Oreochromis niloticus: one gene and its partner. The protein of the gene in region 1 purifies or fractionates together with the protein of each later gene. This does not show direct contact. Links are inferred from orthologs where the notes say so. Each region holds a gene or a part of one and is shown on either strand. Other genes may lie near its edges.

What was found.
Region 2: the proteins of otud6b (region 1) and ubiquitin thioesterase OTUB1 fractionate together in Homo sapiens (co-fractionation; 4 studies listed by BioGRID and IntAct, with this or other methods). This does not show direct contact. The link is inferred for Oreochromis niloticus from reciprocal best matches to the Homo sapiens genes OTUD6B and OTUB1.

What each region holds. Positions count from the first base shown.
Region 1 is NC_031985.2:21,836,196-21,847,327, forward strand, and holds otud6b (deubiquitinase OTUD6B), read right to left. Parts: upstream 4,766-11,132; 5' UTR 4,552-4,765; coding exon 4,482-4,551; intron 3,346-4,481; coding exon 3,197-3,345; intron 2,966-3,196; coding exon 2,864-2,965; intron 2,624-2,863; coding exon 2,423-2,623; intron 1,929-2,422; coding exon 1,808-1,928; intron 1,717-1,807; coding exon 1,655-1,716; intron 1,546-1,654; coding exon 1,439-1,545; intron 1,261-1,438; coding exon 1,176-1,260; 3' UTR 628-1,175; downstream 1-627. Other genes in the region: ras-related protein Rab-5A, read left to right, coding at 9,099-9,264, 9,490-9,641, 9,757-9,879, 10,370-10,463, 10,897-11,012.
Region 2 is NC_031967.2:5,952,383-5,964,126, reverse strand, and holds ubiquitin thioesterase OTUB1, read left to right. Parts: upstream 1-7,154; 5' UTR 7,155-7,301; coding exon 7,302-7,383; intron 7,384-9,291; coding exon 9,292-9,353; intron 9,354-9,723; coding exon 9,724-9,822; intron 9,823-9,949; coding exon 9,950-10,068; intron 10,069-10,247; coding exon 10,248-10,332; intron 10,333-10,697; coding exon 10,698-10,892; intron 10,893-11,082; coding exon 11,083-11,280; 3' UTR 11,281-11,681; downstream 11,682-11,744. Other genes in the region: nectin4a (nectin-4), read left to right, coding at 17-176, 532-604, 887-949, 2,372-2,560, 2,698-3,087. UniProt on the Homo sapiens protein: Hydrolase that can specifically remove 'Lys-48'-linked conjugated ubiquitin from proteins and plays an important regulatory role at the level of protein turnover by preventing degradation.

The DNA of each region.
Region 1 (11,132 bases):
ATATATATATATATATGTATATATGTATGTATAACTAGACTTTATGTATATTATGTAAGGTGTGGATATATAAATATATGTACAACTCTGTGTATATATGTTTATGGACAGGCATGCAATGTAGTGACAAGGATTGACAAGAACTAATATTGCATATGAGAAATACTGCACATAAAAACTAGCATGGTGTATTGTAGGCTGCAGGTACTTTGTTGTTGAGTCTGACAACGATTGGAAGGAAAGACCTTCTCCTTGTTCTCTCCTGTCTCCTGAATCTCTCCTGGTTGGGGGTTGGGGGAAGGTATGTTTGCACAACAAAAGCAGGAGAACAATGGAGCTGAAGGCCTCTCAACGGGGTGCTAGGAGGTGTTAGGTTCAGGGGAATTTACGCAAATTTGCGCAGGGCTAGTAAATCTAGTAGTAGGGACTTGCACCAGGAAAAAAAAAGCTCAGTAATTCTAGTGTTAAATGTGAGTGGATTGATTATAATGGCCAGTTTTACCATGACACACCCACGACAGTGAGGGTTTTTCATTTTTAATGCATGGTATATACATTTTGGTGCCTATAAGATATAAAAAGATGCTCATTAGAAACATTCAAAATAAAGCTGTGACACACACACACTCATGGTATTGTATGCATTTATGTAACTTGGTATGATTTACACGTTTAACAGCTCATTTCAGCCAAACAACACTGAAAACAACCACTCGTTGTCCACATTTGGTTGGTAGTTACACACTATAAGCAGCTACTGAATCCTCAACTGCATGACTGGAATTGTATTTTTTTTCTTAAAAAAAAGATGCAATTCAGCGATGCCTCTAAAAATGAGCTAAAAGGTAACCCTATAATCATTACGATTAGCCAGGGGTGACCCATGTAAAATCTTTTCACACATCAACTTCTGTTCAATTGTGTTTTTTTATTATTATCATCATTAACACAACGTTATTGTTTTAAAAGTTATGTATTCATTTAGGTTTCACTCTCCTCATCTGACTTCAACACAGACATTTAACTGATGTGAAAACAGAAGCATTCTCTGTTGAGCTCAGCAATGTCTCGCTTGACCATGGGTCTCCCTTCAAATATGTCATATTTTAGGGTGCTTCGTGTTAGAAGTTTGAACACTCTCTGCATTACGCCAACAGGCTTATGTTAACTCTCTCTCAGCTGTCCTCAGCGTTGACTGGGTCCTTTAGCTGCTCCACAGAATTGTAGTGCTCTCCTAGACCATAAGCATGCCGCATATAGCTACAAGCAAAGAGACAGAGGAAAGGTTACAGATTGGATTTAGACTGGCAGTAGTCAATAGTGTGTTTGTAAATTTGTGATTGTGAATTTAAAATGTTTACTACAACTACATTAATTTGCACATTTTTACTGATAGTGTTGTACTCTGAGCAAAAAACATATTTGGAAACATTCTTACACAACTGTGATGGGTTCACCGTCATATTCCTCCCCAATTTTTATGGTAGGAGAGTCCGCCTGGATCACCTCGATCGGCAAATGAAGAACTTGCGTCAAAGCTCGAAGCTGCAAAATTTGAAAAATTAAAAAAAAAAATTATTAAAATGAATTGAAGACTACAACAAAATACTTCACTATGTACAGTACAGTATATGACAGTTAAGGAGGAACTCACTTCCAGTTGTCCACCCCAAGCTGATGTGTGCTCCACATCACTGCAGTATTTCTCAAACTCGTCTGGAAGCAAAAGACAAACATGTCAATTGAATATTAAGAAATATAGCAGTGGAAGTTTGACTTTCATTACCAAAAACAAAGATGGTCTCACCTGTTGTGTACATGTCACCTGTGCTTGGGTTGGTGAGGAAAGGCAGGAAGTCGTCAGGATGGCCTCTCATGTGCTCGGCAGTGCGGGATCGAAGTTCCTTCACACTTGTGGGTAATTGGAGCTAAAACAGAACAGAATGCACTAGAAAATGTGTTCTGTGCGTCTAAACTCGACAGTTTCTCATTGAGTCATTTTCTGTATGACAAGCTGTAGAGACTCCAAACACAGAAGGTGTCAAAGATTGTCAGCAATGCTCGATTTCTTATGTAATTCCTGATTCAGTATTTAAACTACAGCTACAGTTATTAGTCAATTCAATTAAATTTTATTTATACAGGACCAAATCACAACAACGGTCGCCTTAAGGCAATTGATATTATAAGGTGGACCCTACAATAATACATACAGAGAAGAACCCAACAATCATATGACTCCCTATGAGCAAGCACTTTGGCGACAGTGGGAAGGAAAAACTCAATTTTAACAGGAAGAAACCTCCAGGCTTTTGAGGGTCAGGGCTCAGGAAGGGCGGCCATCTGCCATGACCAGTTGGGTGAGAGAAGGAAGACAGGACAAAAGTCATGCTGTGGAAGATGCCTCTATAACAACATGTACCTTTGATCGCCGTGTCAGCTGATCTTCAATGGCACGGTACATGCAGTGGCCATCAGAGGAGATCTCCTTGATCTGAAGCTTTTGCTGGGCGAGTTTTTGGGCCAGCTTTAAACCCTCCTGGTGCCTCACACCCTGCAGGTTCTGCACCTCAGCCTCTGCTATCCTGATCTCCCTCTCCTTCTCCTGTGCAGCCTTTTTGTCCTATACAAAATCATTTAAAAGTCAAAAGCAGGTAAATGCGGGTGATTTATTAGACTCCAACTTATATCTAGCAGGCAGAACTGATCATCAGAGACCTCTCTAAAGCGGAGACATCATGAATGTGAACTGTGGTAAACAAGGAAGACTGACTATGAGTTCTAAGTGTTCTTCTTCATGAGAACCTTAAATGTAAATGCATAAAAGTTTCACAACACACAAGTCTTTAAAACTGCACCTCACCCTTCTCTTCTGGGCTTTGGTTACTCGCGGCTGTTTCGCCTCCTCTTGTTCTCCATCTTCCACCTTTACATTCTCCACTCCATTTATGACCTCTTCCACCTTCTAATATTGAGTAAAGAGAGAAATGGTTATGTTGTAAACTGCAGCTGATACAGCACAAAGACTAGACTCATTTACATACTGAATGTATACTGAACACATACAAAAACCTTTTAACAACTGTTCTTTCCCTTTCCGTCTCACAGTTGTTACCCCATTATGAAAGAGAGCTTCTACATTAATTACTAATCAAACTCTACCCGATTTGTCGACCATCTAAACATAATAAGTCACCTTTGTGTCAGTTGTTGCTTTGAGCTGCCTGAATTCCTCCTCGTGTTTCTGATTGAGGTCAGCCTCAAGTTTGGAGATCTCCTCTGTCAGCTGTTTCCTCCTTTTCTTGTCATTTTTGGGGACTGCATTTTTCATGCCCTGGATTTTAGCTGAAAATGATGCAAAGCAGACCATCAAACAAAACAGAACAACACAACAATACAGATGATGCTGCATACTGGTTAGAAAAGTTATACATGCACAAAACCGCCAACATAGTGAAGGATACATGTCATAGATAGCACTAATGCACCTAAAAAAAAGATTAAAATATTTCTGCACCTGTCTACACAAACTGCACAAACAACTGATTTTACATTATCAGACATTATTAATTATTTTGCCACATGTGGCATGTGAAAGAAATGTTTTGATATCAGTGGTCAGCTAAAGCAGCTACTCATTTTACATCATGAGCTACATAAAGCCAACTTTCATAGTAAGTGAGCCAGACCAGTGAAACACCTTCTTTCAGCCAGTGTAAAGCACAGTAAAGCAGTTAAACCACAAATTTAATCCTTGAGATATCTAAAAATAAGATAAAGAAGTGCGATTTCAAAAAATATCTCAGTTTTTCTACAAGAAATACTGCAGTAGCAAATGAAAGAAATCTGTCAGAATGACTCTTTGGGTTTAAACCCTAAGAAACAAAGGTGTAAAATTACAGAAGCATTTCTGGTGGCTGACTTGCAAGACTGTACTGTAATTATAAAACAGAAAGCTTTGTTAATTGACAAAATTCTCTTTTTATTTCTTTTATGTTGTTTAATTACTTATCTATTACCTAATTACTCGGGTGTAGTATGAAATGCCATGGTGAAGATCTTTTTCATTCGGAAAAACTATAAAGCTTATTAAAATACAGTTCACATTTTCCAAAGCCGTCCAGTGGGTCCGGATTGGTGTCTTTGTCAGACCGAATCTGGCCCTCGTGCCTTATGTTGGACAACCCCTGGGCTAAAGTCATCAAATCCCTAAAAGTTTCTCCCAACAGTGATCTGTGTATTATAGGTTTATTACTCTAAAAGCAAAACAAACTACGCGATAAGGCTGGCAGTTGCCTCACAATAGTAACCACAGAAACGTCTGCGGTGACCATTATTTATTTACTTGCTGGTCACTTAATAGCGGATAAAGTGAGACTAAACACTCCGACACATAAACAACATAGGGTACGCTAACTAGCTACCAGCAAGGGCTGAAATGTTAGCCCACCAAACAAAAGAGCACAGTTAAAAGTAGCTACCCTGCAGATCCTTCTTCTCTTTGCGGTGCTGCTTTGCCAGGAGCTCCTCTGGTGTCTCCACCTCCTCCATGACTGGATGCTGCTGTTAAGCTCAACCACCGACAGTGCTTAAGAGGTACATGAACCTGACTACCATATGTGTTATTAATGACTTGTTATAAAATGTAGCTCATCGTTAGCACAAGATAAAAGCACACAAATACAGTGAACAATAAATAAAACGTGCTGATATGGCCTTATCCGGAAGAGAGGGTGGGGCTTCTTCTTCTACGCCAAAGATAAACTCCGAGATTTTCTCTATACCGCCACCTCTCGGTATGTTGTGTACTACAGTTCCAGGCTATCTCGGCACTAGGTTTTTTATTTTAATACATTTTTATTAAATATATTTTATATAAATATATTTTCTCGACACGTCTCGTTCATTTAATCTCATCTTTATCTAAGAGTGGACAGGAAAAAGTGTTTCCTCTTTCTTCGTATCTTGTTTTTAGATCTTTATCACTGGTTTGCAACTTGGGGAATAACGATAACCCTGTGATACATGAGAAAGAAAACAAAAACTTTGAATATGAGGGTTAGTGGTTATACTGAACAAAGGATGTTGAAGGTGGACCTACCGGGAGGGAGGAGAAGAGGAAGACCTCAGAGGAGATTTGTGGATGCAGTGAAGGAGTGAATACAGAGGGCTTTTGTGACAGATGAGGATGCTAGAAGTAGGGTGAGATGGAGGCAGATGATCTACTGAAGGGAGCAGATGAAAGAAGAAGAAACGCCAAGAAGATCCAGTGGGTTTAAAATAGATTACATGCTTCTTTTCAAAAGGGTATAACAATACTTGTCTGTAAATATTAATTTCAAATTAAAGGAACAACAATCTATGTGACTATTAAAATGCCTTTGTCCTCGTGACAAGGTCACCTTTAACCCAAGATTCCTATAGAAAAAGGTATCTATATTGTACCGAGTCTATCTAAATATCAGCTGTGCCTGATTCCCTTTTGTTAAATTACTGGGTAATTTGATCAAATACACATGAAAATATTATTTGTAATTTTTATTATTATTAATGTCTGATTTTATTTGTATCTCATTAAAAACAGATACCGAGATCTGATCCTGGAGGGCAGATCATAGTCAAACTTTATATACACCATCTGCCTGTTAGCGGGCGTGTCGTGTGACGTGGCACGGGGAGCGGAAGAGCTTGTTTGTGTTTTGGTTCTAAGGGGAAGTTGCGAGAAGAAAGAAAGGAGGAGACGTGACAGGATTGTTGAAATTATTTTCTCGGTCCCCCCTCCCCTGACACCAGCTCATCACACTGTCCCAGGTTCTGTGTGCGAACTGCAGCGGTGCTATTTAAAGTTGTACATCGCCTGGCTCTCAGGTAAAGTACTTGTCACGAATCGACGAGTTGTGGTTTGCAGCTGGCTCGGTGACATGACGCCGCCGTTTGTTTAGTTGTCATCGGTGACTTCGTTAGTTAGCTGTGTCGCTAGCTAAGTGCAGCTGATGTCGATGGTGTTTGGTGGCACAGGGGATGCAGAAATGCGGGCCTTTGTCCTGTCGAGTCCGCTTGTTCTCTTGTATACCAGTAGCAAATGGCTAATAATGTCTGGTATAGCAGGTAGCATGGCAGGCTTACAGTGACTTTGCTAATAGGTGGACTGGGTTCAGTGGGTCTAATGCTAACAGTGACAGCAAGCTAACGTTAGTGTTTGTTAATTGAGGGGCTCAGCTATTCCCCTTGAATCAACATTAGCTAAACGGCACAGGCAATCAGGGTTTCAATTCGAAAGAAAAAAAAAACTATGGCGTTAGTTTTGTGCAGATAGCTGTCGTGTTGTTTTTATGTCCTTACAGCAGTTCGGAGACTAATGACACCAGACAGCTAGGAATGCTAAGCTTTGCTAACAAGCTAGAGAACAAAAACACTTTGGGGAAAATGGCGGCCCCCTCTAACATCAAAACAGACCGATAGCCACTGCTAACACCGAGCAAGTGTGTTCATAGTCAACTAACGAGGGTTAAAGCCAAATATGCGCGTCGCAGTCATGCAATGCGCAGCGTTTGCTGACAGTCCGTGTCATGAGTGTGGGTAAATACGGTCACTGTTCTCATTCCAGTTCCTGGAGCATGTTTGTTTTCTTGCTGCGCGTCTTCAAGACTTCGTCTCAAGGATGAGTCGATTGAGATAAGGTTGAAATGTTTTGGCATGACCTCGCCGGTCAATTTATTGACTCGTTTCCCCAAAGCTCTTTATTTGAAATACACCCAGAAATCTGGTGGCTAAGGTAAAGGAAATCTTTACCTTATATGAATGCCTTCAGACTTTAGTGTTGCGACACAAGTAAGAACGGTTTGCCACAGATGTGGGTTAGTGACGCACAGGTTCATAATGTGTGTGAAAAAAAAAGTAAATGTTATTTATAGAGCTCATTTTGAAATGACTGGAGTTGTCCACAAGTGCTGTACAGGCACACTCATTTTGTAATCCAAGTCTCAAGAACAATTACAAACATGGAGCTTGCATAAACAGGGAACATAATAAAATATAATATTTAAGAAAAGAAATCAGAAAACAACTATGTTCTACCAATGCTAAACAGTCAAGTAAAACAGTAGTAGAAAACATTTACAGTGTGTTTGACCAAACCCTGGGGGACCTGAGGCTAGACTAAAAGCAGCTAAAACAGATATGTCATTAGAGCTCATCTAAAATGATCAGTTGTTGAACCAGTCCCCATGAGCCTAGGGGCAATAACCGCAAAGTCCTAGCTGACTGTAGTTTTTAGGCAAGAAGGGGACACTGAAAGAAGAAGTTAGGATGATGATGTCAGGGATTTGGAGGCAAAAATATGGTTACTTTATAGACTGACTTGCCTGTTTTTGCAATTTTGTTCAGAGTACATTTATAGCTTTATCCTCTCAGTTATCTTGCAGTTTATAAGAACATTATAAGCACGTGTTAACTCTTAACTTATATAATTAAGTAGCACTTTTCTACTTGGAGCAGTCTCAGCTACTACTACTCGTTCATCCAATCACACATAAATGCATACAAGTGCTTTTTTTCTTTACCTAAGCACCTTTTCTATCATTTGCACACACTCTAATTCACAATGGAGGCATTGCAGGCAACTCAGGGTTCAGTGCTTTCCCCAAGGATACTTCAGCATGAATACTGGAGTATCCGGGGAATCTATCCCACAACCTTTCAAGCCACAGCCACTGAAATGTGTCGTATGCTATTATGTACAGCTACCTTACAGTATAATATAATTCAGTACAACATCTTCATAAACTGCCATTGAGCCTACAGCCACCACAGATTAATGCCTCTCCTCAACAGAGTGTGACTTGTGTGGTTAACAAAGGTTGCTTTGTGCTTTATTGCACTGCACCATATATGTGAGTTTGATGCGAGGCGAAAGGCCAGTTTTTGGTCAGGCACAAGATTCCACTAAATTCACCCTGTAAGGTCAGACATAAGCCGTGATTATGTCCTTACAACAGCCGTCTGTGTTTTTTTAGAAATTCTGAGCTGTTCATTCCCAAATAAGTTAGTAAGCACTGCATGCACACATGGTATGCATGCATGCATGCAATGGTTCTCGCAGTTGTACCACACTTGAGTAATCTGGGTGGGTCTTTCCCCGGCTCTCTTTTGAGTTTGCCACGAATCACTGTTGTAGTTCATGACAAGGCTTCCTTTTCCTGGTGTTACTGTAAGTTACATTCATGAAGAAGTGTCCTAAATTTGGCCTGTCGAAAGTCGCACATGCATTCAGAACAGGCCTTTGTATGTTTGAAATGCTTGCAAGTTATTTTTACTGACTTGAAATGTTCACAGAATAATTCATTTATTAGCCTTATAAAATTACATTTACAGCCATAATTTGCAGATAAAAAAGATAGCTAATTGATACAGGCTATCATTTTCTATGCACTGTGTATGAATTATATTGGAATATATTTGAATTTATTGATCACATAAATATCTTCATGTTGCCTAAACTGCAGTGTGAAAACCACCTGTTTCTTTGAAACACTCTGTGTGGGAAATCCTTCTTAATTCATAACAAATTGAAGTGATACCAGTGGGTGAATGCTTGACTTTGATGTATGAAAGTATGAGTGAGAGATCTATCAGTTTTTTCTATGTAGTCTGCTCTGATGAACTTTCATTGGCCTTTATATCCCAGTCAAAATGTCAAAAGATTACCAAATTTAGTTACTTTTTTCTAGTAGCCTATTCATTAGTCTGATTCTAGTTTTCATAAGAGTTGTAATTTTAATAATGATTTTCAGAGGAAGCTGATCTTATAATTATACATTTGTTGCATGATTTCAATATATGAGTAATGCTCATTTGTCTTAAATGTCCGACTGTCATCTATACAAAAGTAACTGTTCCATTCTTGTTATGACTTGTTAAACTGCATTGGAAGGGAAAAGCATATTAGCAGAGGTTTTGTTACATTTGTTTGAAATTACAAATCTCTTAGAGTTTAATATCTTTTTTTACTCTGTGAACATGTTTGTTTTCGTGCTTCCTGCAGCAGAAGTCCCGACAGTGAGGTTCAGCACACAGGATACCTGGGATCTGACTAGGTCATGGCCAATCGAGGAGGAGCTACGAGACCCAATGGACCAAATGCAGGGAATAAGATCTGTCAGTTTAAGCTGGTGCTGTTGGGGGAATCGGCTGTGGGGAAGTCCAGCTTAGTGCTTCGCTTCGTCAAGGGCCAGTTCCATGAATTCCAGGAAAGCACAATAGGAGGTAAGGTCATGTCATCAAATCAGGATGTTTCTGACAACCTGACAGTTCTGTTTTTTTTGTTTTGTTTGTTTGTTTTCCTGAGAAGTCCCCATTCAGAATTTAGAAGACTGATGCTTTTGTGTTGACACATTCACAGCTCTGTTGTTTATATGACCTCGTAAAGATATAGTTTTGGTGTCGTTAATGATCACGCATAAAATGACTCATCTCTTCCTGTCTCCACAGCGGCTTTCCTAACCCAAACAGTGTGTCTTGATGACACAACAGTGAAATTTGAAATCTGGGACACTGCAGGCCAGGAGCGTTACCACAGTTTGGCACCAATGTATTACAGAGGAGCACAAGCTGCCATTGTGGTCTACGACATCACAAACGAGGCACGTTCATCCTTGACTAAGACCCAGGCCTTCCAGAGCACTTGTAGAGCAAGTTAAAACATGAAAGTAGCATTAGATGTTGACAAGTGGTACCGTGTCTTCATTTGTTTTTCAGGAGTCCTTTGCACGGGCCAAGAACTGGGTGAAGGAGCTACAACGACAAGCTAGCCCTAATATAGTCATCGCTCTGTCAGGAAACAAAGCTGATCTGGCCAACAAAAGAGCTGTGGACTTCCAGGTCAGTCTAGACAAACCTTAGACTGTGTCTTAGGCTTTGATTATTTTACAATTTTTATTTATTAATTAATTTATTTTTAATCTAATATCTCTGTGACCTTTCTGTGTGGAGTTTGTATGTTCTTCCTGTGTCTGCGTGGTTTATCTCCGGGTACTCCAGCCTCCTCCCACAGTCCAAGCACATGTAGTTAGTACAGTTATTTAATTGGTGATTCTAAATCGCTCATGGGTGTGAATATGAGTGTGAATGGCTGTCTGTACCTCTCTGTTAGCCCTGCGACAGGCTGGCGACCCGTCTCCAGCCCTACCGCAAAGTGGAGTTGGATGAGGGGAGGAAAATAGGTGGATGGCTGAATGATCACATTCGAAGCGGACGCTGCATTCTAGAGCCACGACTTCCATTTTTAATTATCCTCTAATTGTGTTTCTCCTATGCCTGAAGAAATGTGTGTTGGAGAATGTTTTGAAAATTGTTTACATTGTGTCAACAGGACGCCCAGTCCTACGCAGATGACAACAGCTTACTTTTCATGGAGACATCGGCCAAAACGTCTATGAATGTGAATGAGATATTTATGGCCATTGGTGGGTAACTTTTAGGATTCAATTTGTAGATATTTGTTTTTCTGCACATTTCTGTTATTCAGAGTTAGAACTGTTGCCTCATAGCAAGAAGGTCATGGCTTCAAGCCCAGTTTAGGGCTCCTTCTGTGTGGAATTTGCATGTTTTCTGCTTGCCTGAGCTTTCTACTGTAGCTCCAGTTTTCTTCTACTGAAAAACACACAAGGTTTACGACGCCGCTGTTAGGCTTGGACAATCACAAATTCCTAAAGGGTTTCAGTTCCTGCTTTAAATACGAGTTAAAAATTAACTGGAGGACAAGGTCAAACTAGTATGATTGATGTTTTTTTGTTTTTTTTTGTTAATGTATTTTTTTTTTTTTTAATCATTTGTAGCTTCTCTTTCCTGAAAATTGTTTTATTATATGTTTGTTTTTTTGTTTTTGATTTCTTCCAGCAAAGAGATTGCCAAAAAATGAGCCTCAGCCTGCAGGAGCAAACACTGGGCGCAGCCGGGGAGTGGACCTGACAGAAGCTGCCCAGCCAGCCAAGGCTCCATGCTGCAGTAACTAACATGAAGAACACCCTCCTCCCTACCAACCTGTATGGCAGTAACTAATGTGGTCAATGCCCCAAATGCCACTGCAGTTACTAATGCAATGTGTCATCTACTCTCTGAAACAAGAAAATATG
Region 2 (11,744 bases), on another chromosome or scaffold:
AACTCTACCTTCACAGAAAGTCCCCCGGATGACAGAAGCATTGAAAACGAGATGATGTTCATTGTGGGGGGCGTCGCCATTGGGCTCCTGATCTTGTTGCTCACCATCGTCATTGCTGTCACATGTTACCACAAGCGCAAGAACAAGAAGCTAAAGAGACAGCTGACTGAGAAGAAGTACGAGATAATGTGATGTTTAATTAAGATGCAAAAAGATGAGATGAATTAATAATATCCGCAGGCTGAGAAGAATACATAAAAATGGGGCAAATCACAGCTATTAAGAATATTCCCGCTGACAGTTACAACAGCGGAGCGTGTAAAATTAGAGAAGCATAAAGTGTAAAATGCAGTGGCTAAATGACTCTGCGTGGGGGACATGTAAATTAACAGCAGGCACAAATATGCATGAAAACTAAATTTAAAATATGAAGCTTTAGCAATAACTTGAGCTGCCAGAGAATAACACACGTGGCATTATAAGCCTCAGTGCCATTTAGAAATTAATTTTTCTGTCTTTTTTTCCTCACAGGGAGGAAATAAGCACTCTCTCCAGACAAGCCTCTATCAGGAGAATGAACTCCTCGAGTACAGACAGGAGAGCGGTACGTTTGCATGATTATTCTCTCACACACTGCTCAGCACTGATCCAAATCAGTGGACCACGTGTGTCACACAAACCTTTTTCCAACGTTCAGATTTCACTATCAATAACTCCAAACACTTCAATATAACTACCGGTGTCTGTTAGTCGCAACAGCCAAATATTCATATCTTCTATCAATAATACCATCAGTTTTAAAATAATGAAAGCATAGTATGGTAAGGTTTGAATGTACAGATTTTTTTCATGATTTGGAATTTTGTTGTGTTTCTTTTGATTGCAGACAGAGGAAAACATCCCTCTGAGGGTGGAGGGAACACTGAGGAACAGCCTGTCTTCCCTTGGGGTCAGTCTGCGTATCTATATAAATCTGCATGCAGGGCCAGGGCCTGGGACTGAGGCTTTACTAGCCAGATGCCAGATGGCTAAGTTCTGAGTTTCAACATTTCGAATCTGCATGTAGTGCATCACAGCTTTTTTTTTCTTCTCTTTTAACATCTCTGTTCCTCTCTATGGGCCCTAAAGTTCATGCTGAGAATTAGGCCAGAAGACTGACACCACTCTCACATGTGTTAAATATAGAGCTGGAGCCAGATACATGTTAGCTTAGTGAAGCGTAAACACTGCGAGCAAGTTGCAAACAGCAATGCTTGGTCTGTTTTAAAGTATAACCAACTACAACTGCAAGCCAGCGACTCTAACTGGTGAAACATAATGTAGCACAGTGCAATTTGGAAGGTTAGAAACTTTGTTACTGTGGACAGATGAATTCCCTCCCTTAGATAAGGTATAAAGCAAACAAAATTGAGGGGAGAAGAATGCAGACTTTCACCCAAGAAATTTGGGTTCATGTCTTTATACTTGTCCCCTGGACTCTGTTGGTTTTCTAGGCTGATAATAAGACCATGATTTGGCCTTTACAACCGTATCAGAAGGGCAAAAATAGTGGCTGATTCTTTTAAAGAGAGTTAAAATGACAATGTTTAGCTCAGACATGTGTCACTATGTAATGTGGTGTTAAGAGTCAGTAGTTACCTTTCACATTTTAGTGAGATCAGACTGGTTTAATAATGCTCTGTTTCCTGAGCTAAATTACTGCTGGTTGTAGCTCCTGTAATTAGCATGAAGACATGGGAGTGGCACGCTGCTATGTTTCAGGAAGAATACGCTGTAGCATATTTCCCAAAACAACAAAAAAAACCCATTTAATTTCATCTTTAGTGTCATCAAATGCAGCTTACTGAGAAAAGTAACATTTTGCATGTGGCTATTCCCAATTTTTTGTCTTTTACAGCCACATCTTAGTCATTTTCAATACACTGAAAAAACATTTAGGCCCAAAAAGCTACTTTGTAAAGCTTTTATTGCCTAATTGTATGTCAGGCCTGATTCAATCAGGACCTGGAGTGAAGTTTGGGGCCCAAAATTAAATCTCTTATTTTATCTAATATATTATCCAATACTTTCCTTCGAATTTCTTGAAAACTGTGACTAATTAAATGCAAATAAATAACAGACTATTTTTCATTAAAAGTTAATTTATTTTTCCCCAGTTAATGCTAAACTATTGTTTTAAAACTACTTTTTAAAATATACATGTAAGTAAATAATGTAACTATAATGCTTTAAATAATGTGTTTTTTACGTGAATTTGGGGAGAATGTTTGTAGCAATTCTGTTGTTTTGAGCATAGAATTGTTACAATCTATGCACTTCATCAGTGTGTCTAGTAATAGTTACTAGTGTTTCGTTTCCATGCCATAAACAGGAGCAGCCTCAGTGCCGTGATAGCCGATCTACTATCTCAGGCAGTCGGGGAGGAGGAATTGCGTATGACTCTCTGGGCAGACCAGCCATATACAACAACTCCCGGAGGGGGAGAGAAAGGCCTCTGGACAGAGACGAGGAAAGCCGACTCAGAGTGGAGAGATATGTGAAAAACAGCTCTTTATCTTTGGTAAGTGTGTCTTAGTGTGCGTGTCAAGGCTTGAGTTCGCCAAACTGTGGAATGCCTCGGCTCCATATTACTAACCACTGCATAGTTAACCTGATGATGATGCAATCAAAATCTGTGTCTGCTCTGTGTCCTTGTAGCCAGAAACTCACTACCACCCTCCTCTCACGCAATTGCCTCAGAGGATGCAAACGCCCGACTTTCTGAGGTCGATGAACGGCAGCCCCATTGTCCCACCGGATGTGGGGTTGCGACTGGGAAGCATCACCAAGAATCACCAACACCCTCCCGTGAGCAGCACCTGCCCACCCATAAGGGACGACGATGATGAAGTGGATGAAGGGCTGGGCGGTCCTGCCAGTCAGGAGCAACCTTTTGATCAAGACAGCGAGACGAACAGCTCTCAGGTGTCTGAGGGTCACAGTCTGCCCTGCCAGCTTAGTAATGGCCTGTTAAAATACAAAAGGATCCCAAGCCCCCATCCGGTCAATCCCCACACCTCTATAATCCACAAGGCCCAAATAGTTTAACAGCTGGTGAGAAAATAACACGTGAAATTACAGAACTGCACCGCTTTTGTGGATGCGGTTGACTCCAAAGCATCTTTAGGGCATTTCTTATTGCTGCCTGCTGTTTGGGGGATCAGTGGCGTATTCCCCAGATGTTTGCAGAGCTACTGGAAACTAAAGACAATATCACACATTTTCCAGTGCAGCTACTTCAGCATCATCACCGACGATATTCCTTTCTGAGCTTTCACAATACAGCTGTTGCTCTAACCAGCTGCAGCTGACAGGTGAATCCAGCTGCCAGAGCTTATGAGGGGATATTGAAAGCACTTGCTGTGGGAAAAACCAGGAAATACAGGAGGAGTAAACAAGGCTGTGGGAAAGTCGGCAAATCTAAAAAGGAGATTGCAACAGCTCGGTGTTGAGGGTGGACTTCTGATTTGGTTGTGGTGAGTGTAAGAGTAACTGCCTGTGTCACATTCTCTTACACAACATTGGTTGGGACCTGATCCAGATTTTTTTGGCTTGTTCATCTCTGGCCACACCTTCAACCCGCATACCTTCATATTGTCTTACTGTCCTGCCGCCGTAGGCACTGAGACAGTTTGGATCAGATGAAACCTTAATGCCAAAACAAGATTAATGTCCCTTACATGTAGTGATCTGTAAATCTGTACAAATACACGAGTGAGCTCCCTTTTCTTAAAAAAAAACAAAGAACAAAAAAACCAAACAAAAAAACCCCACAAACACCTTTGAAATAGAGCTGTAATACTTAAATCTGAAGTAACAAAGACACAGCATGGTAACAACAACAAATAAAATGTGCTGTCAGGTCATACATCCCTCTGCCTCAGTGGCCTCCTCACTCAGATTCTTCCACATACACGTAGTACATGTGTGCTACAAGCATATTGATGTACACATATATAAGACTAGAGATGACAAAGCATATATGAAACATGCACACTTAATACATTAGAGTGCATTTATGTTTGATCTGTCGATGTTTACACACACAGTATGAATGTCAACATCAATGGAATCTGGAAAAGCTGCCAAACATTTGGAAAACATAGTTAGAATTGATCAGATTCTGTAAGTATGCCTGGATTCTCACGAAGCAGATCGTAGAAATGAATAAAAAAGGTCGCCACACATGGAATTTCTGTACAGTTTGGAACGTTTCCTCCAAAAGAGGACCGTGTCTTTCCAAAAGGAGTTTAACAGGGACATGTTACAGCCTTTGATTGCAGCATAAAAGCCAAACATGTATTTTTTATCTGTGTACTTTTTTTTTTTAATATCTGTTATGAGTATTGGGAAAAATGTGCCAAAGGGGAAACATGAAAAAAAATAACAGGTTTGCTATTCTGGCAAATATGAAGTATTATATTGTTTGTTACATACATTGTATTGTACAATTGTATTGTTTCCTTTTTGTTATGTTATCTGCTGTAAATACGACTTTTTTCCGATACACTTGTCTGATGTTGCTTTAGTTGTGTAAAAAGTGTGCTGGGACAGTTTGTGGCAAACTCAAAGTGATGTGTGACTATTATCCGGCAGCACCTAACAAATGAGAAGCCATAATGTCTGAATGCAGGTTGCATTTGCAGACAGCGCCCCCTGGTGTATACTGCTGGAAAGTGCAGGGGCCTGACTGAGGCAACAAACTGCAGAACTAACCAACTATGAAAAACTGCCTTCCATTGTGATCCAGATGATCTTCTTGGACATTTGCCTGGATTTCTAGTTATTTGCAGAGAGCTCTGGATGGTTATCAGCTAGTACTGATGGGTTGAAATAAATGTATGTGGTTTTTCTAAAGGTGCAGGTGTACAGCACTTTAGTTACCCCTGTACATTCATTTTTTAAACTATTTTTTATATTGTAGAAAAAACCGAATGCACTGAAACTATTACATTTTGTAGTCTTCTTCTTCTTTCAGCTGCTCCAGTCTGTCTCTACCAACCATCTGCATGTCCTCCTTTACTTCATCCATAATCCTCCTCTTTGGTCTTGCTCCCAAAGAACATCTTTGCAACCTCCACCTTCTGACTTCATCTCCAAACCATACATCACAGCAGGTCTCACTACCATCTTGTAGACCTTCACTTTTTTTTTTCTGCCTATGTGCACTGTCTGATGCTGTTGGTTTATCACAGGTATTTAAACCCATCTGCCCTCATAGCTGAAATCACAAATGTATAACGCCAATTCTTGCCTCTTCAGTCTCAGTGCTCTCACTCAGTAGTGGTTTCTTTGCAGTGTTTAAAGAATAAAAGCCTCGTCTGTAACAGCTGATGTTAGGACATGTCTTTCACTTGACTTGTGGTAAACACTAAAGTGGCATCCAATCCGAGGTACTGTTAATTGCAGAGTTAGGAGGCTAATTAACCTTTTCACTGCAGCTCCTGGAACTTTTGGTCTCCTTTTCCAGAGGCCTTCCTTGTAATAGGAGCTTCATCATCACATCAAATGGGTTTTGTCACTTGAAGAAACCTTCATTGCTCCTCAGTGACGGCTGCGGTGCTCAAATTGTGGATGTTGGGATACCGACAGCCTTCGCACTACTGTACACTACATTCATCCACAGGTTATGTCATACTGTGAGAATTTCTTTTCAGTTTTTGCTCTTGTGTTGTAGTCATCATAGCAAACTAAACCTTAAAGAAACGTATTGGCCACTGAATAATTTGCTATACTTTTTAGTTCCTATCCAATGGTTTCTATCACTGTGCATCATCCATATATCCCATTGCTTCATCAGAGTTAATGTAGTCATCTTGGTTGCAACAGGATGAATATGTTTAAATGAATCAGCACCCCTTGAGTCATGCTAACTGTCAGAGTCCTCAAACCACAGGCACAGCAGGAGGAGTGGCAGCCTTCCCCAAGGCCGGTTCTGCCCTACTTTGTTCCTGTTTAAAGGATGTTTTTCCTCCCCACTGTCACAGAGTGCTTACTCATATGCGCTTGTTTGATTGTCAGGGTTTTCTTAAGAGTACTGCAGGGCAAGGGTGTCAAACATAAATTGGTCTGGTAAAGACTCCAGTTCGGACCACTGGACAGCTATGATAAATATAATGGAGGGCATAAATTTTGGACTTTAATTTTTTGATGCATCTTAATGTTTTCCCCTCCCTTATGGAAATTCATGCATCAAACTAATAGATAAACAATTAGATGACAGGACCCTTTCTGTTATTTTTTTAACTACTGATTCTGATACTATCAAAATTTCTCTTTTTTACATCCATAATAACAAAACAAAAACGATAAATAAATACATTAAAAAAACAGGATGTTTCCTGTGAATTAAGAAAAACTTTGTTTTGTAATAACAGGACAGTCTGGGGAATGAGTGACCAGATTTTTTAGAAATGTAATTTTACACATTTATTTCTTAAAATGTATGCCCAAAGAGAGATGTAAGAGATTTCTTACATTTATATGATATTTATATTTAGATATGTTGTTGAAATTGCTCTGCTTTTTCTAATACTAAGCTCAAATGTGCAGTTGAACACCTTTATACTGACAGGAAAGGGCCTTCATCCGGTCCAGCCAACTCAAAATCACAGTGGGCTGAATGTACAAAACTAATTGTTTGTTGGATTTTTACCTTCATCACAGTTATTGAAGAATAGCCACTAACTTGATAAATAAAAGCCAGCCAATTAGAACTAACTTAAGCAGGGATTTGCTTAATTAGTGCATAACTTTTACCATGTTTGCAATTAAACAAATTACCCCAAACCAGTGACTGTGCAGTTCTGTGAGGGTCCATGGTTTTGTGGAAGGACTGCACACTTCACCTGCCTCATAATCCTGTTTGACCCTCAGAAAAGCAACCTGTTATAATGCTGAGGAGGGCTTTTTATATCCCAGCAACAACACGAACCCTTTGACAACACTACCAAATATTTATTTCTTTATCAATTAATCTTAGTTAAAGTTATGATATAATAAAGAAATAAATGTATATTAAATATGACATAATACTGTAATTATGTAAATAAATGCATTATTTTCTGGTAAAACATCAGCCAATGGAATGTACTGGAAGCCTCGTATGACGCTTTAGCTTTGTTAACAAAGTCATTATTCATGCGAAAAGGTTGACCACAAACTAAATAAATGAATGAATGAATGAATGAATAAATAAATAAATAAATAAGTAAATAAAGTAAGTTTACCGGTGGTCTGCGCTCGGAAGTGTGCGACGAGTGATGTCATGCGGAGGGAGGAAACCGATCTCGACAGCTAAGATGGCGGAGGAGCAGCAAGAGTCATCACAGGGAGAGATGGAGGGTGAGAGAAACAGTTACACCAACAAATATCAAGCAAAGTGCGCTGCCATTTCTCTTCTAAACGAAACTCTTATCCACACGAACATCTGTAAAGCGTTTCAGCCGTTGCCTCCTCCGTGCTGAATCTGGCTGATGTGCAGCGGTGAGGGGCACACAGAGGCCAGAGCTTCTGGGCTAACGTTAGCTAGCTGCCAATGCTACACAAAGAAAAAAAAAGCTTGTTTAGTTAATGTCAAGGCAGCAGTGAGTGACAGTCCCAGAGGTTTTGACTTTTGGAAATGCTTAAAATGTGTACTTATTATTAAAGAAAAGGCGTCGTGTTTTTAGTTTATAAAACTGCGTCGTGGCTAGAATTTGTTTTGTTTTCGCACAAGTCGCGCTAGCCAAGTTTAGCTGACTGACGTTAGCTTGTAGGTTAACTTGTTTTGATGTTAAATGCTGACCAAGGGCTAAATGCGCTCTTGTTTGCTTATTGGTGTCAGCAGGTGATGAAAACGGAAGGGGGGAGTGTGTCTTTGTCAATTGATTTATTCCACATTTTATTACATTTTGTTTACATGCAGCTGTCTGGCATTAAAACGAATTCAGTGGTTTCGCCACTGAGAAGGAAAACACCGCGTTAAAAGGGCTTTGTGAAAAAGGACATTTAAACCAAAACGACATGCAGCACCTGGCGCCGTTACTTTTATTAAGAAACTGGCATCTTAACCTACAATGTATTACGGGTGATCGAGTTTATTTATTTATTTTTACAGCCAAGATAATGCAGTCGCATTTAATTGTGATTGTTAAATACAAGCTAGGCACTTTTTAATTTCCTAGTAAAACCAAGTAATATCGAGTTAGTTCAGTTTTAATTCCTGGCTTGTTTGGGTATTACATTGTCACACAGCATTGCAGGTGCAATGCAGGTACACTGCCAGTGTCACTAGGTCACACCTGCGTAAACGCACCAAATGTAAAAGTGAATGCAGTCAGAGATGGGCCAAATCAGCTTGTTCTGATTCCCATCCAATACAGCTTGGGTGTCTGCTAATACTGACTAGAGATAAGATACTGGTTTTAAATTAATAATCTATAACGCTGTGAGCAAGAGACTAGAAAGTATTCTTATATGTGTCAGGAAATACGAGACTTAACTTAAAACATTTTCCTAACTTTGAAAACTGAAAAGGAACAAATAAATATAATTCTATACAAATGTTGATATTTATTAGTGAAATAAAAGAAAACAGCCCTAGGATACACGTGGCAAAGTAAACACAGAGCAACACAGAAATGAATCGAATGGGCTGGCTCGTTATCACTGATAGCTGGTCCAGTTTTCACAGTTGGTATCGGATCGATATCCAATCCAAATATTGAATTGGTGCAACAGTTGTTTCCCTAGTAGCAAATGCTTGTATCCTAACTGTCTGAAACACTAAAAGCTGAAACTGTGTTTTAGCTTTCAGTTCATAATGTTTTTCTATTTTTTCATTTTTTTCAAACCACACATCTGTGCAGTAGATCACATTAGGATCGCACTCTACTAAAAAAGTTAACCTAAGCAGTTTTCCTCAGACTAGCATCCTTTAACGAAACATTAGCACCTCCATACAGTTTGGGAAGATGGAGTTCTGCTTTGATACTGCAGATGTTTGTAGTGCAGTTTTGGTCTCAGTTTCAGAACTGTTACAGTGCTGTTGTCAGTTTATAGTACCATAAATGCTACTATATTTATGGTAATGTAAATCTAAAGTACACACTTTGCATCACTGGAACACTGCGATTTCAAATAGTGCTTCTAATCTGATGTGCAGTTAAAATCCCAATGCCACAGCTTCACTATCCTCTGTTTCAGCCAGTATGTCATTTAAGTACTACTCTACTCCTGAAGCCTCTTGAATTTGTCACCCTTGTCTTACAGGAGTGAACTGCCTAGCATATGATGAGGCCATAATTGCTCAACAGGACCGGATTCAGCAGGAGGTAAGGAAGCTCTTTTTATCTTAAAGGTCAAGTTTAGTTTGGGCAGCAAAAAGAAATAAAGATAGCTTGGCGTTATTCTGGGGATCCGGATGAGCAACTTCAGAAATCTCAGATCACATGTGGACAGGGCTATAAAAGCATAATTTGCACACTGAAAACAAATGAGATGCATGTCTTTGAGAATCTATCTTTGCAGTAATTACATTGACCTTTACCTGTAACAGGGTTTATGTGCACAGCTGTGAGCTTATAATAAAAGAAATGTTACTAATGCATAATCACAGATGTACTGTGTAATAAAAAGTCTAAAAACAAGTATGGAGATGGATTGCAGTGACTAATTTGCAGTTTTGTGTGTGTGGTTGTGCAGATAGCCACCAGTAACCCTTTAGTGTCAGACAGACAGGACCTGTCGGTGCTGCAGAGCGAGTACGCTGAGGATGACACGGTTTATCAGCTCAAGATCAAGGTCAGTCAGAGCGCAGCACCTCTCAGGTTACTGCAGCCACGTGTCAATCCAAAGTTTCTCTGTTTAAATTTGCAATAACAGTTTTGGATCTGATCTTAAAGATTTTTTAAAATTATTGTTATTACAGGACCTGCACAAAAAATACTCGTACATTCGCAAGACGCGACCAGATGGAAACTGTTTCTACAGAGCCTTTGGCTTTGCACATCTCGAGTCCCTGCTAGATGACAGCAAAGAACTTCAGAAGTGAGTGCCAGAGTGGTTACTGTGTGTGCTCTGCTGGCTGTTGGTGTCTATACTCAATGTGTGAATGTGTGTGAGCAGTACACTGTGTTCTGTTTTCAATATTTTAAAATTCAGATAAGCACATAGGTGGCTTTAATATTTACAATGTTTACCTTTAAATACACATTTTGTCTCTTCAGGTTCAAAGCAGTTGCAGCTAAAAGTAAACTGGATCTGGTTAACGAAGGTTTCACTGAGTTTACTATTGAAGATTTTCACAATACTGTGAGTATTCTGGCAAACCTAAATGACTATTTTGCTGAAGTTGCTGTAATAGCAAATGCATGTCATCTAGTTAGATACATTTGTTTTATTTTCTGCTTTTTTGCATTGTTACTGTAAAAAAGCTTAAAAAAAGAGGTGTAAAACCCTCAACCTGACTGACAGCATATCATTTGTTATGTTGGATAAGGTGCAGATGACGATCCTTACTGACTAGCCAATTTTAGATGGTCATCTGCCAGAGCACATGATGTGTTCAGTGAAATGGAACATGCAGCCAAATTTGTTTTGGCCAGTTAAATAGAAAGTTGGCAAGCTGAAGCCCGAGTACATGAGTCTAAATATGTAAATATTGTTTTTCCTGCTAGTTCATGGACTTGATTGAACTGTGTGAGAAACAGCCGAGGCTGCAGGAGGTGCTGAGCTCCTTCAACGACCAGAACGTATCAGACTATGTGGTGGTGTACCTGCGGTTGCTCACCTCAGGCTACTTGCAGCGAGAGCATACCTTCTTTCAGCATTTCATAGAGGGTGGGCGCACTGTCAAGGAGTTCTGCCAGCAGGTGAAGGTTTTCCCTACATAGATAACCATTTTCCTGTTTTTAAATTTAAATATAATGTACATAACTGTTGAATTGTTATGACCGACGTTGTGTAAAGAGTACAGTGTTTGCCATTCTGGTATAATGAAGATGTTTTATTGTCTGAAACTCAAACCTAATGTGCTTTTTTTTTTCTTTCTCTTTTTCCAAGGAGGTAGAGCCAATGTCTAAAGAAAGTGACCACATTCACATCATCGCCTTAGCTCAGGCCTTGGACGTATCCATTCTGGTGGAGTACATGGATAGAGGAGAGGGAGGAACAGTCAATCACCACGTCTTTCCCGAAGGCGGAGACCCCCGCATCTTCCTCCTCTATAGACCTGGCCATTACGACATCTTGTACAAATAGCACTCCTGGCCACGGCCCATCTCATGCATCTCCTGCTGTGTGCCGCAGCAGCGCATTCAGAAAATGCTACCAGCAGCCATGCTGATGAAACATACATCTGTGTATAAGATTACACTTGTGTATTTGGAAAAAAGAAAAAAAGAAAAAGAGAGAGAAAATCACATTACTTGCCTCCTTTGCCCTTCTCGCCCCAAACCCCCAAATTTACCTTCAGTCATAACAAAATGATGAAATAAAAAAAAAAAAAATCTTTGGAAATATAGAAGTGACTCCAACCATTTAGAGTTGTACAGGGTTTTTTTTTCTTTTGTGGTTGTAAATGTTATCTACTTGCTTTGTTTGTTTCTTTTCCTTTGTTACACTGCGTTTCATTGAGTTTTATTAAAGCAATTTACATCTTATTTCTTGTGTCAGTATGATTTTTGTTTTTCAGTTAAATATTGAAAGTTGACAATAACGTTCTT